Mytilus edulis: one gene and its partner. Each later gene encodes a partner of the first gene's protein in a complex. Links are inferred from orthologs where the notes say so. Each region holds a gene or a part of one and is shown on either strand. Other genes may lie near its edges.

Region 1 (7,196 bases):
AAATTCAGGAGCCTTGCTACTGATCTTAGTTTACTTAATTTAGATCTAGATCTTATTATGTTTTGACTGTCAAGAAGTTACTGGTTAGTAATGTTAGTCTTATTATTTCTTACAATCAAACAAAATCTATCTTTCAAGAAAGTTATTGGCAAAATATTTCCACCACTGCAGGCTGGCATTCACCAATGTTTTGTAATACTTTGTGTACACAGAAGTATTCTTTATCCAGATAAATATTATAATATAGAGAATTTTACCTCTTTCCCTCCTGGATCCACCAGAGGTGCTCCTAAAAAATAAGAGAAAGTTCTACAGAATTTCAAATGTTAAATAATCTAATCCTTCAGTATGTAATTACTTTAATTTGGATAGATATACATGTTTTTATAATTATGTCCACATACACTGTACAAGGAACTTGCATACAAAACACACAACTTAAATTCCTGGAGTTAAATTGTACTTTTATTGTGGAGAAATGTTTACATTGTATATCTCTAAGTTAAAGTCTTTATTATCAGACTGTAACAAAGTATCTACCATTTAAAATAATGTTTTATTTTATAAAGTTTTAAGGTAATATCTGTGTACCACAATAGATATATATATCTGGGCACAGGGTTTCCCCTGGGTCAATTATTTTTTTCGCCACCTCTTTCGCCAAAACAATATATTTTTCGCCACTTTATTATTTTTTTCGCCAAATATATTTTTCCTTTAAAATTTTCTTTTTTTCAAGCACCCCCCCCCCCCCCCCCCCCCCAAATGAGAAGTGTTTTTTAACAACAAAACGAAGAATCTTATTACTTGGAATTGATCCCTCGTGTAAGGTGTAGTCATTATATTGAAGGGTTACTCTCATGCCAACCTTTTAAATAGATTTCTTCATAACGACAGTTTTCTTTTCTAGACCATCGTAAATAAGTAAAACTATATGCTTGAAACACCTGTGTTACAGAAACGACTTTGAAGTACCCACTCAAATCAATGATCTATATGAAAGTTAAATGATAAAGTTTAAAATCAGAGACCTTTCTAGCTTTTGAACATTTTTCGTCATAACAATAATTTTCTTTTCAAAAGAAGGAGAGGAAGCGTAAATTTTGCTTCAAACACGTGCGTCGCAAAGCGGTAAATAAATCCCTTTTGAGACATGTGACAGAAGCCATTTAACCATATCATTTTGTCATATCATACAATCAACACCTTTATTAATTAGTCCTTTGATGTCGATAGCTATAAATGCAATCAGCTGATTATTGATTTTCTGTCGAAATCTTAACGAGTTCAAGGTGAATTCCGAGTATTGTCTGATCGGTAAAGTCAGAGAAACCCGAAAATAGTAAACAAACAAGATGGCTGAAAATAAATCGTTATATATATTTCTTTCGCCAAATTCTTTCGCCAATGACGAATTTTAATCGCCACAATTATTATTTTTTCGCAAATTGCGAAAATGGCGACCGCCAGCGGAAACCCTGTCTGGGCAACAATAGGTGATTTACATCTGTGTAACTGCTTGGCCATACTTTTAAGTGAAAGTCATATGTTATTCCGACTTCTGCTGACTTGAAAGAAAATGAACATCCAAATAAGGTTTTTAATTTTCTTAAACATAAAGTGCATTTAACTTTAATATTAACATGATTATAGGATCAGCCATCCCTTAAAACTTTCCTAGATGAACAAGTTTGCCTGTAGTCAAGAGATTTTGACATGCATGGTGAACCTTAATGAATTTCAAAGCTGGTAGCATTACACAACATAGAAGGAAGATAAAGAAATTTCTGAATTTTTACGCTAATTTAACTTGATTGTTAGGTTATAAGGTAGCAATACACAGTTAGGAGTTTAGTTTCGCATTTTGGCCCTGGCAGTGAATTTTTTTTAAATAGGAAAGTTATTGTGTAATAAAATTCATTTTTAGACAGCTGAGTGCTAATTTAGCCTTCAAAGATGGTTTATAAGAGCATCAAGATTATTTTTTACATGTTTTATGGGCTGTTTTCTGTTTGACAATCCGTATTTTCATAGCTAGACCAGCCATACAGAAATTTAAAATAATGTTTACAAACACTTTTTTCTACATGAAGTTTTTGACGCAATTTTACAAAAAAATGAAAATATGATTTTCATTTGATTTGCTGAATGATATATGTACACAGATTTAGAAAAGGTATTACTTCAAGCGATTGAAATTCTACTTTTAGCCAAATTGTGGGGAAATATGTGACATCTTTTCCCCCCTTTTTGCAATATTTGATAACAAATAAATGCAGATTGTTGCCATGGATACACCCAAAAGAAATTATATTTTACCATTTTATATATATATACTTGATATAAAATCTATGGAAGATTCTGATTACATACATATGCACATATTTGACACAAACAGTAAGCTTGATATTGCAAGAAAGCAATGAAAAGGGGATGGTTAAATTTTTAAGGGCAAATTTAATTTTTTTCCTAACTGTTTATTGCTACCTAAGGTAAAATTGCTCTTGATCTCTATGTACAGTAACACTAAAAAACAGACAATTGCTAAAGGCCTACACTTGCTACAGGTAGAAAAGTTGGTTGCTGGGTAGGTAAAATAGTTTTCTCTTATATACAAGAGTCAAAAAAAATTTTTTTTTTTCTTAAATGGTTAGGTAAACCCAATTTGGGTTTATGATGCAATTACCCCTTAAATAAACAAAGGGGCCACCAATAAGTAAGGCTGTTGCTCCAAGAGATATCAATCCTATTTTCCAAGCATTTTTCTGTCCTTTCCATTTTGATTCTTTTTCCTTTTTATCCTCTTCTTTCTTTTTATTAGTTTCTTCAGGGTCTGTAGGAGCATCGAAAGGGGCAGCTTTCACCAAAAATTCATCAGTCACAGAACTCGTCTGTTTGGAATAACAACAAACACATGGTATATTTGTTATGACAGGATACGAGTTTCGTTTTGTCCATTTTAAAACAACATTTTCTCCATCAAATTTTGCACAAAACGTGCGTGAATATGTTTTATGTGACTGTAGACGAATAAATGTTTTTAAAATACATGTGTGGGTCCTGAGAGCTGACATGTTTATACTGAATTGTGGGTACTCATTCGTCCCAAGTAACTCGTCCCTTCATTTCGCCACACTTCATATCAATAACTATACAAAGAAATTTCGGTTGAATATCGCCATCACTGAAATTCAGATATATTTTCACCTTGATATTCAAGATAGAATAAATTAGGGTTTGGATGGGGTTAAATGATTAAAGAATAATGCCCTTAAAAAATGAAGATTAGAGAATAAAGGGCAAAAAAAATGAACTTCGGATTAAGATACGTAGTCCTAGTCTAATTTTTTGAAGATTAGAGAAAAAAGAGGTCAATTTTTTGAAAATTAGAGAAAAAAGAGGTGAAAATTAAATGTTTACCAGAATAACAGACCCGCCATCGAGACCCTCATAAGTTTGAAATGGAATCTGTTCCGGAATTGAAACGTGTTTTCCCCGTTCTCTAGCGACTTTTAGTTTACAGGCTTCCGGTTGAAATTTTTAGACCCAGCCTTCCAAAAGTAAGAAGAACGCAAACATTTAATAGCAGACAGGTAACCAATTTGCACGGGGTATCAATTTGAAGACGTTAGAAATTTGTGCCATATAAAATTTAAAAAAAAATTAAACTGTTTCTTGTCAAACCCTACCATTAGGAATTACTGAATACTGGCTTTACTTTAGGCTTTTTGCAGCTGACCATTTTATGAGGGTAGTAATGCCCTTTAACCTCAGAGTGAAACAGTCAGTTATGGCTACTATAAATGACAAATTGATTTGAATTTTACCAGGATTGTTCAAAATATCCTTACCGTCAGCGATCTCAAATATTATCCTTACCGTTATTTTTATGCCTCATTTATGGGCATTATGTTTTCTGGTCTGTGGGTCCATTCAACCGTCCGTGGTACATCATGTATGATTGTTAATAAGACAACTATCCACCAAAGTTCAAATGAAGTGGATGTAAGTTATTAATTAAGGCAACTGTACATCCTTTAACCCTGGCATGTACCAATTCCAGATCAACTAAATACATATTGTTATAAACATGTTATGCACTTTCATGGATCTACAAGCTGTCGACTACTGCATAGCCCAAGGTCATATTTTTCTCTGACTGTTTCAGTATGATGTCTTTGTTAGATGTTGGATGTGTATGATTGATAATTTAGTCTTAGATGCATGATTTTTTTTAGTTGTTATTGGCTTTCAACTAGCTGTCTTTTTGTTGTTGGGATGTACAAGTACCCATTCATATCCACTCTGTATTTTTTATACCCCCGTTTTAAAAAAGTGGGGGTAAACTGGTTTACCTCTGTCTGTCCGTTCATCCATCCGTCCATCCGTCAGTCACGTTTGTATGTATGTACCTGTCCCAATTCCCAAATCAGGAGCCTGTTTTTCAGTAGTTGTCATGTGTTGCTGTGTTACTTATTTGTTTCTCGTACATATGATAGATATACTGTTCCCAGGTTCATTGTATTGGAGACACTGCCACTTTTAACGTTTAATGCTAAAATGAGTCATATGTGACAAATCAGTGTCCTGTTTTGTCTGAATTTCTTGACGGTGATTCTTTAAGATATTTGACCATAGTAGAAAATTTGTAGAATCCGGAATTGTTAGGAATTTTTTTTGGCTAGAACGGGGGGGAAGTGTAGGTTTTTTTTTTTTTTATATCGTACCATTGACCATCATCGACGCTGAATTCAAAATGGTGTGCCATTTAGCTAGCTGGGCAACCGTAGCTCTTATGGTTTATTTTGACAATTTGCGGACCACATGATATATGATCTGTAAATTGTCAAAAATATTACAAGGATACGAGTTACAGTTCCATAGCTATACATTTTGTACCTTAACATCGGATACATCTTTAAATCTTTTATAAATAAGAATATTTTATGTGTTTCCCCAGAGAACAAAAATATTTGAGCGCTCTTTATAACTTGCTGTTCAGTGTGAGCCAAGGCTCTGTGTTTAAGTCCGTACTTTGACATATAAGACATATGATTGTTTACTTTTTGAGAGACCTAGAGTTGTCTCATTCACAGCCTGTTTCTGGTAAAATAGTAGTTATTTTCTTTATGTTCGTAGTTTTATATTGTTTATTTAATTCATTTAAAATGAAAGAATATTTCTTTTATTTTACCTATCGAGAAGTTTAAGTTTTATAAACACCCCGCATGTGCGTAAATGTAAACAAAGAATTGTGGGTGTAATTGCACATAAAATTTCCATAATTGTCACTGTGTCAATGAAAAAGGTGTGTCATAGACTGTCAACTTCCAATCAAAGCCTGGTGACATAGTTCACTTTCCAATATTTAAAGGATCGACTATTTGAAGCTCAGGTAAAACACGTCAACAAAAGAAATAGGCGTATCGTAACGAGGTCACTCGCCTTTGTAGAAGTTCCGATCGTTTTCCAAAGTTTTAATACCACGGCACTAAGTTCATCTCTTTAGTTGGATATTTCCACAGTTTCAAATCATTTTAAATGTATTTTTTCTCGATTACTATCTTCATCAGTTAAATGTATTTACATACAATCTTGAATGGATGCCATTGTTATTACTGATTTGTTTGCATGAGGTGCGGTCATGTGACTGATAAATGAATATTCATGACTTATTAGTGACGTATCTACCGATCTTTGCTATTAATCAAAAATTTAGGTTAGTTCACTTATTTTTTGTATCAGTAATTGTCTTGAAACAGTTAGTAAATTTTGAAAACTTTTAATTACCATGATAACATGTATAACAAAACATTTTATTTTTTTTAATTTATTCCCCTTCAAATGTCTATTAACAATTTTAGTCAGTTGAATATTTAGAAGAAGTGATTATATATGTTTGCAATCACGAAAGATAAAATCCACATTTCAATAAAATAAGATTTTTTAATTTCAAATTTGTTAACGTTGAAAAACATGAAAAAGTACATTTTCAAGGCTCTGTGCTGAAAAATACTTTATAAATTAATCAAAAGGTACTCTACAATCTTCAATGTCATATAACCTATGTTTCAACTTACAAAATGCCCCAAAGCAACATTTTTAGATTATTTTTGTTGACACTTTTAATAAAGTTCTTAGTTTAAGTTTATCTGTTGGTTGTATGTCTTACAAGGATTATTGGTGAAATTTACTAGGAGAATTTTAGATTTGCAATTTTTTATCTTCATACTGGAAAAACACTTTTCCTTCCAAAGACCTGTTGTTTATGTTATTTTCAGCATAAGTGCTTTATTAATGTCCCCACCATACCTTGATGAAAATATTCAAACTACTCTTCCAATCTTTCCATGAGTGATATCCATCACTTTGATTGATGAAGTTGAAGTCCAATCAACTTGAAATTTAGTACACATGTTCCTTATAATATGATCTTTCTAATTTTAATGCCAAATCAGAGGTTTTCCCCCATTTTCATGGTCCACTGAACATAGAAAATGATAGTATGGATGGGGCATCATTGTACTATGAACACATTTTTGTTGTAAATCATTCAATTTTTTTATCATCTAAAAGGAAGTGCAGATTTTATTGTCATGCAACAAAAATTACCGTTTACGTCATTAAGCAAGAATCTTCACCGTTTATCCTCCCTTATACAGCATTACAGATCAGCCAGGGAATAACCACAAATTGATGGAATATACCAATTTTTGCATACATGTATCATATACACATGATACATGTATCTTTTCTCATAATATGAGAAAGACAAGTCATTTTCTGCACATCATCATAAACCATGTTTATGGATTGGAAAAGATCTTCATACAATGAATGACAACCTTGTCAATAAAAATTCCTCATATTGAAGGCATACTAATGTTTTTGTAGTAATTATGATTAGCATAACACTACCTAATTGTAGTCTATTTTATCGTCGGGTCATGGTCATAGCTAATAAAGATATGATACGAAATGGACATGTGTTCAAAACATACTCGCTAATAATTTCTGATAATATCAATAAAATGTCATTCAAGCTAGTTTTATAGTGATGCCAGTGTATCAAAGTTGTATTCTTTCACTACAAATTTGTTAAAATTGTATTCATTTCATCACAGAATGATACAGAATGCAAACAGGGTAATACAAAAATGGTGCAGACTGCATTCCCTAATTAACAAACCATTATA
Region 2 (7,107 bases), on another chromosome or scaffold:
TACTAAATTTGGGGTCCGACGTCCGTGAACTTCTAATTGGGAACCAGGTAAAAGGATCAATATATGAATCTGTGATTTTTCTCCATCGTTGAAGCATATGATAAAAAGATCATAACATGTCATTTTTCATATCGCATGTATTATCAGCCCTCAAGCCGTGCGGCTCTTGGGCTGATATTGAACTTAGGGCTGATAATACATGCGATATGAAAAATGCCATGTAATAATCTGATATTATTGGTTTATATAGTTTTTAAAAGAATCTGCAAAATTTAAACATAGGAATTTGCAAGTTTTCTGTTACATGTATTTACGTGATATAATTATCCCTTTTCTTTACATCATTTATGTTGTCAAACATTTACTCTTGTGATGTCACAGTGGTAAGGGATGACCAGTATAGTGGGGTCATGTAAAGGGAGATAATCCAAAGTTACATGTATTTATCATGTTAAAATATTGTGTGAATTGATACAATATTTCATGGGTCGATTCTGGTCTGTTTCTTTTCTTCTTCTGTTGTACCAAAACTTTGAAATACTGAAGATTACTTGTTGACGTGCATGGTTATTAATGTTAGCATTATTTATAGTTCCATAACTCTTTCTCCAGAGACCGGCCATGTAATTATTCTTGTCGAGAGCACCTGCTTCTTGCACGTGCCTGACTTCCTGTCCAGCCAGGCTCGTTGTCCCCAGGAACTATAAGTATGAAGTCACTCCCCGTGTTCAGGGAAGTCTACACTTAGGATTTGAAATGAGCAGACGCTCATACCGTTTAGCTTACAAATATGGAACCTTCATTATACAACAAGTAGACTAGCCGCCTCCGTATTTTAGTATATATGTTATATTGTAAGTATGTTCAACCATATATGTCTTTTAAAATAAACATCTTTATGTTAACTGCAGTTTTACGTGTATAGACGCCGTCAGCTGAAATTCGTAGCTGTTATCTGTAAAAATAATCTAAACTATCAATCGCGTTCACTCGAGATAATAGTTTTTCACATTCCATTCATAAATCGAAAAAAGAAAAACCACTACTGACCTACCTTTTAAGTGATCGCACTGTAATAATCCTGACCTTCACATTTTCCAAGATGATTTTGAATGGTGAAATCCGCCATTGTTTTTACCGGAAGTGTTTCCGTGGAGTTCAATTTCATAAAATTTGCATAAAGCGCTGGAAACCTTATCACATCAATGAAAAGAACATTTCAGGAAACTGCGTAAGTGACGAATGTCATATGTAAACAAATGATCCTCATAGAAACGAAGATGGCGGAATTACAATGGAAAACATTCTGGAAAATACACCTTATCGCTATTCCCGCTTGACCCGAGAATCTGTCCCGCTTGAACTTTTGACGTCATACAACAATCTCTTTTCCATTGTGGCGTCAGATATTTTCTTTTATGACGTCAAAATTTTACGGGAACTTGTGTGATGTCCAGTAATGGCGGACAAATAGCGATAAGGTGTATGTGAAGGTCAGGATTATTACAGTGCGATCACTCAACTAGAGGCTCTAAAGAGCCTGTGTCGCTCACCTTGGTCTATGTGAATATTAAAGGAAGCAGATGGATTCATGACAAAATTGTGTTTTGGTGATGGTGATGTGTTTGTACATCTTACTTTACTGACCATTCTTGCTGCTTAAAATTATCTCTATCTATAATGAACTTGGCCCATTAGTTTCAGTGGAAAATGTTAGTAACAATTTTACCTCATGTCAGATTTGCTCTAAATGCTTTGGGTTTTGAGTTATAGGCCAAAAATTGCATTTTACCCCATGTTCTATTTTTAGCCATGGCGGCCATCTTGGTTTGATGGCCGGGTCACCGGACACATTTTTCAAACTACTAACCCAAAACATGATTGTGGCCAAGTTTCGATTAATTTGGCCCAGTAGTTTCAGAGGAGAAGATTTTTGTAAAATATTACTAAGATTTACGAAAAATGGTTAAAAATTGACTATTAAGGGCAATAACTCCTAAAGGGGTCAACTGACCATTTCAGTCCTGTTGACTTATTTGTTAATCTTACTTTGCTGAACATTATTGCTGTTTACTGTTTATCTCTATCTATAATAATATTCAAGATAATAACCAAAAACCAGCAAAATTTCCTTAAAATTACTAATTCAGGGCCAGCAACCCAACAACGGGTTATCTGATTCATCTGAAAATTTCAGGGCAGATAGATCTTCACCTGTTTAACAATTCTTCCCCATGTCAGATTTGCTCTAAATGCTTTGGTTTTTGAGTTATAGGCCAAAAACTGCATTTTACCCCTATGTTCTATTTTTAGCCATGGCGGCCATCTTGGATGGTTGGCCGAGTCACCGGACACATTTTTTAAACTAGATACCCCAATGATGATTGTGGCCAAGTAGTTTCAGAGGAGAAGATTTTTGTAAAAGTTAACGACGACGCCGGACGCCGGACGCCAAGTGATGAGAAAAGCTCACTTGGCCTTTTAGGCCAGGTGAGCTAAAAAGTAGGTCAGTAGTGGTTTTTCTTTTTGCAATTTATGAATGGAATGTGAAAAACTATATCTCGAGTGAACGCGATTGATAGTTTAGATTATTTTTAGCGATAACCGCTACGAATTTCAGCTGACGGCGACTATAGTTTGTCCAATATCCCAGAACTTGGGTAGACAACGGAACTTACAAGCCAGTGGAAACACCACTTCTGTTACAGATCTTCCTGTTATTTGTTGCAGTCTGATTGAGATTTCATTTTTCATATATGTTGTAACATAAAGCTTTTAAACCTTTTATTTATAAACAATAATGATCATGATGATGTTACATAAAATTATTTATCACTCATACTTCTGCAAGTCTTCTAGCACACGATTAATTACATACCTGGGACATTCATTGGTTGATCATAAGGCGAGTTAGCAAAGAACCCTGATCGCTTCTTTTGATTGTTATCCATGATGAAATTATCAGTCGCTGCTTACTGTTGATGAAACATGTGCGTCATTGAAAACGGAAGGTCGAAAAAGGGATATAAATAAAGACAGAAGCTAAGATAAGAATGTCAACCCGAGCTTGGGCCCAAATAGATTTTTTTCATTATTAGTTTTATTAGGTCTCAAAAATTCAAAATAAAAATATTCTTTGTTTTATGGATCTTAATTATATAAACTAATAATTGATACATGATGATATTTTTTTTAACTATATCTTGGAAATATTTAAATCCCAAGTATATTTGACGGTTCATTTTCATGATTTTAGAGTTTACATTTGCAAACATGTGCTTCCGGTTAATATCAAAACATTCTCAAGGTAAAAAAAAAACCATGCTTCAGACAAAAAATAATTACAAACATAATCTGTATCTTTACATTTTAAAAATGTTTTCAATTTCCGCTATACTGAATAAAAACCATTGCCATAATAATTCACAATTGTCACTACTACAATAGCAAATAATGAAATATTCCATGCACATTCATTTCCATTTTTATTTTTTCCCCCGTGATTTTGGGAATGGTGCAATTTTTTTTATTTTATATAATTAAATTTATATGCGAGTTCGTGGTCTAGTGGTTAAGGTTGATGGCTACAGTGCTGAAGGTCCGGTGACTTGCAGCCTGGGTGCTAAAAATAGCAGAAGGGTGATTTCAGAGATATGCACAGATCTCTAATATCAGGTTCGTTCGTGCCCAATACACTTTCGCACCCTACACATTCGCACCTCCCATGTTAGTCCGAGATTACTCTGACGTCCAACAGCTGTTTTGCCAGACAAGCTGGGGCCGTGGGACGTCAGAGCTCGTCCCATATCAAAAAGTGGATATTTGACCAACCAAAATAGATGCGCTGCTTCGTCGCTTCTGGTGCCGATTGAGGGCCTTGGAATTATATAAATCGGGCACCAATCTGTTCATTTTTCATTTATCTCTTCATTTATGTAAGTTTCACCTACCTGCCAACCTTTATTTTTCCATATTTTAACAGTTTTCACAGAGACCCATCGATTTCTGCATTTTGACTTTCACTTTCAAATGGACGTCAAGTTACGAGAGAGTTCGTGGCCTCGAGACTCAAATATGCAAATATTTATATGTTTTCACCTCCTTTATAGGAGATCGATGTTTAACATTTAGAAGCTAACCACGATTTTTCACCTCCTTTACAGGAGATCGGTATTAAGCATTTAGTTTCGACCACGATAACAATCGGAAGCTCTCGGACATTTAGATAACTTGCATCGTAAATGAACGAGGTGTTACATTATGGTCATTTGCAATGTTTTCTCGTGGTCACGTGATAATCTTTGAAAATGAATGTCAAAATGCAGAAATCGATGGGTCTCTGTGAAAACCGTTAAAATATGGAAAAATAAAGGTTGGCAGGTAGGTGAAACTTACATAAATGAAGAGATAAATGAAAAATGAACAGATTGGTGCCCGATTTATATAATTCCATGGCCCTCAATTGGCACCAGAAGCGATGAAGCAGCGCATCTATTTTGGGTGGGCAAATATCCACTTTTTGATATGGGACGAGCTCTGACGTCCCACGGCCCCAGCTTGTCTGGCAAAACAGCCGTTGGACGTCAGAGTAATCTTGGACTACTCCCATGTTAGCACCCAATTCTAAATAAAATTCCAGTTGAATAATTAGAAAACCAAGATTGTTGTTTTTAATTGATTTGATGTAAATACTGCATGTATTTAGCTTCGTATGAGTAAAAACCTTGAAGATTTTAAATGAAAAACACAAAAGATTTAAACAGCTTGGCCCCTTTTATCTGAAACAATGAAACAAAAAATCATAGCAATGCACTAACCAAAACATGATGAAAATTTATTCAACACCAAAAAATAAGTTGTCATAGTCTAACTTCATTTTGAAACAATGAACAAAAAGTTAGCAATACACTTAACCAAAACAAGATTAAGATTTATTCAACACAAAAAAAAACATGTGTCTCACTTTAATTTAAGACAATGACAACAAATATACTTACAATAGGAATACACTTGCCAAAACTTGATTACAAAGTTTTTAAACACAAAACCAATAATTGGGCGCAAACGTGTAGGGTACAAAAGTGAAAGGGGGCGAACGTGATAGGGTGCAAACATGAATGGGCGTGAACGGACCCGGATTCCACATCTCTGGTAGTGGTACCCAGACCAGAGTTTAAACTAGAATGGGTACTTTGGGGGCATTGGTTGGTCAAAGATGCCCCTACTACAGTACTCTTAAGGACATGCTGAGATTGATAACTTTGAGAGACATTGTGTCTGACATGACAGTCTTAAGGACAGACACAAAAACCAGGTGTGATCTCATGCTGTTTAGCAATTAAGGTTACCTGAATCAAGGAGCATGACTGATAAACTGTTAGATTACATAACCATGATAACTATAAAACCTTGTTTACAAATATGTTATCAGCTAATAATTTCAAATTTTGCTTCTTTTACAGGTACTAAATAATATTATCCAAAGGGGATGAAGAAAATAAATGTTTCAATTATTTCAATAAAAAAACTGACCTTTTTAACATGATATATATACTTTTTTAGTTAAGTTTTATTAATTTTATTTCTTTTTATTTCTATTTTGTTTATTTGTTTTTGCCAAAAAAAAAAATTTATGACCTGGAGATCAATCTACAATCTAGTGTCCAGGTGGTTCTCTCTAAGTAACAGCTTCCTCCACCATTAGTAACCAAACTTTTAGCTTTAAGGATCAATATACATTTTTAAGACTATACATTGTGGTGGTATGACTGCACGTGGAATATGGAAACACAATTTGGTATCCACATTTTGTGAAAGATATTAATGCTGTGGAAAAAGATAAGAGCAACTAAATTAATTCCTGATATATAAGACATTTACAAATGTAAGCTATGGAGACAGATTAAAAGTACTTAAAGTACCTTCTCTTACTCATAGAAGGCGTTGATGAAATATTAATTAAGGTTCATGAGGACCCTTTGGCTAAAATGGCTGCATTTTCACATCAAAATTTATCCTGAGTACAGACACACCTGTGTAACTTGAATACTTTTAAGGCATAGCTTGCCCTAGATAAACAAAATTCAAAAATATTCTACATTTGTATGTTTTAGAAAAATTTCAAAAAATAACGATTTTGCTGAGAATTTTTTTTCATTCCTCCAGCATGTGCCAAAATAAATGGCTTTATCTTCTTCAAGCAAGAAGAAAAGCTAAAACCTTGAAAGTTGAACTTCGACTTGTATCTACTGTTCATCTATTGCCCATAGGTAATAATTGAAGTGAACTGCATTGATTGAAATGGACAAAAGATGAACGATAGATACATGACAATAATTGGTGATTTAAACTGTGGACCATATCGAGTGACACTAGACTGTTTGTTTATTTTATCATCTTCTGCAGGGATGAAAAAAGTGCACTGCCAAATCCAATTTTCTAAAACAAGTTATACATTTGGATTAAATTTATCTAGGGTATGTTTTCTCGTTTGAATTGTTTTACATTGTCTTATCTGGGCCTATTATAGCTGACTATGCGGTATGGGCTTTGCTCATTGTTGAAGGCCGTACGGTGACCTATAGTTGTTAATGTCTGTGTCATTTTGGTCTTTTGTGATAGTTGTACATTGGCAATCATACCACATCTTCTTTTTATACGACCGCAAAAATTTTAATTTTTCGTCGTATATTGCTATCACGTTGGCGTCGGCGTCGTCGTCGTCCGAATACTTTTAGTTTTCGCACTCTAACTATAGTGAAAGTGAATAGAAATCTAAGAAATTTTAACACAAGGTTTATGACCACAAAAGGAAGGTTGGGATTGATTTTGGGAGTTTTGGTCCCAACATTTTAGGAATTAGGGGCCAAAAAGGGCCCAAATAAGCATTTTCTTGGTTTTCGCACTATAACTTTAGTTTAAGTAAATTGAAATCTATGAAATTTTGACACAAGGTTTATGACCACAATAGGAAGGTTGGGAATGATTTTGGGAGTTTTGGTATCAACAGTTTAGGAATAAGGGGCCAAAAAAGGGCCCAAATAAGCATTATTTTTGGTTTTCGTACAATAACTTTAGTATAAGTAAATAGAAATCAATGAAATTTAA

The links. Proteins that work in one complex are often made in the same cells at the same time.
Region 2: mitochondrial import inner membrane translocase subunit TIM50-C-like (region 1) and mitochondrial import inner membrane translocase subunit Tim23-like share a complex: the UniProt entries of both Homo sapiens proteins name them as parts of the TIM23 complex. The link is inferred for Mytilus edulis from reciprocal best matches to the Homo sapiens genes TIMM50 and TIMM23.

What each region holds. Positions count from the first base shown.
Region 1 is NC_092346.1:56,749,430-56,756,625, forward strand, and holds the start of mitochondrial import inner membrane translocase subunit TIM50-C-like, read right to left. Parts: upstream 3,104-7,196; 5' UTR 3,075-3,103; coding exon 2,687-3,074; intron 290-2,686; coding exon 258-289; intron 1-257. UniProt on the Homo sapiens protein: Essential component of the TIM23 complex, a complex that mediates the translocation of transit peptide-containing proteins across the mitochondrial inner membrane. Has some phosphatase activity in vitro; however such activity may not be relevant in vivo.
Region 2 is NC_092352.1:1,173,190-1,180,296, forward strand, and holds the start of mitochondrial import inner membrane translocase subunit Tim23-like, read right to left. Parts: upstream 3,027-7,107; 5' UTR 2,952-3,026; coding exon 2,879-2,951; intron 1-2,878. UniProt on the Homo sapiens protein: Essential component of the TIM23 complex, a complex that mediates the translocation of transit peptide-containing proteins across the mitochondrial inner membrane.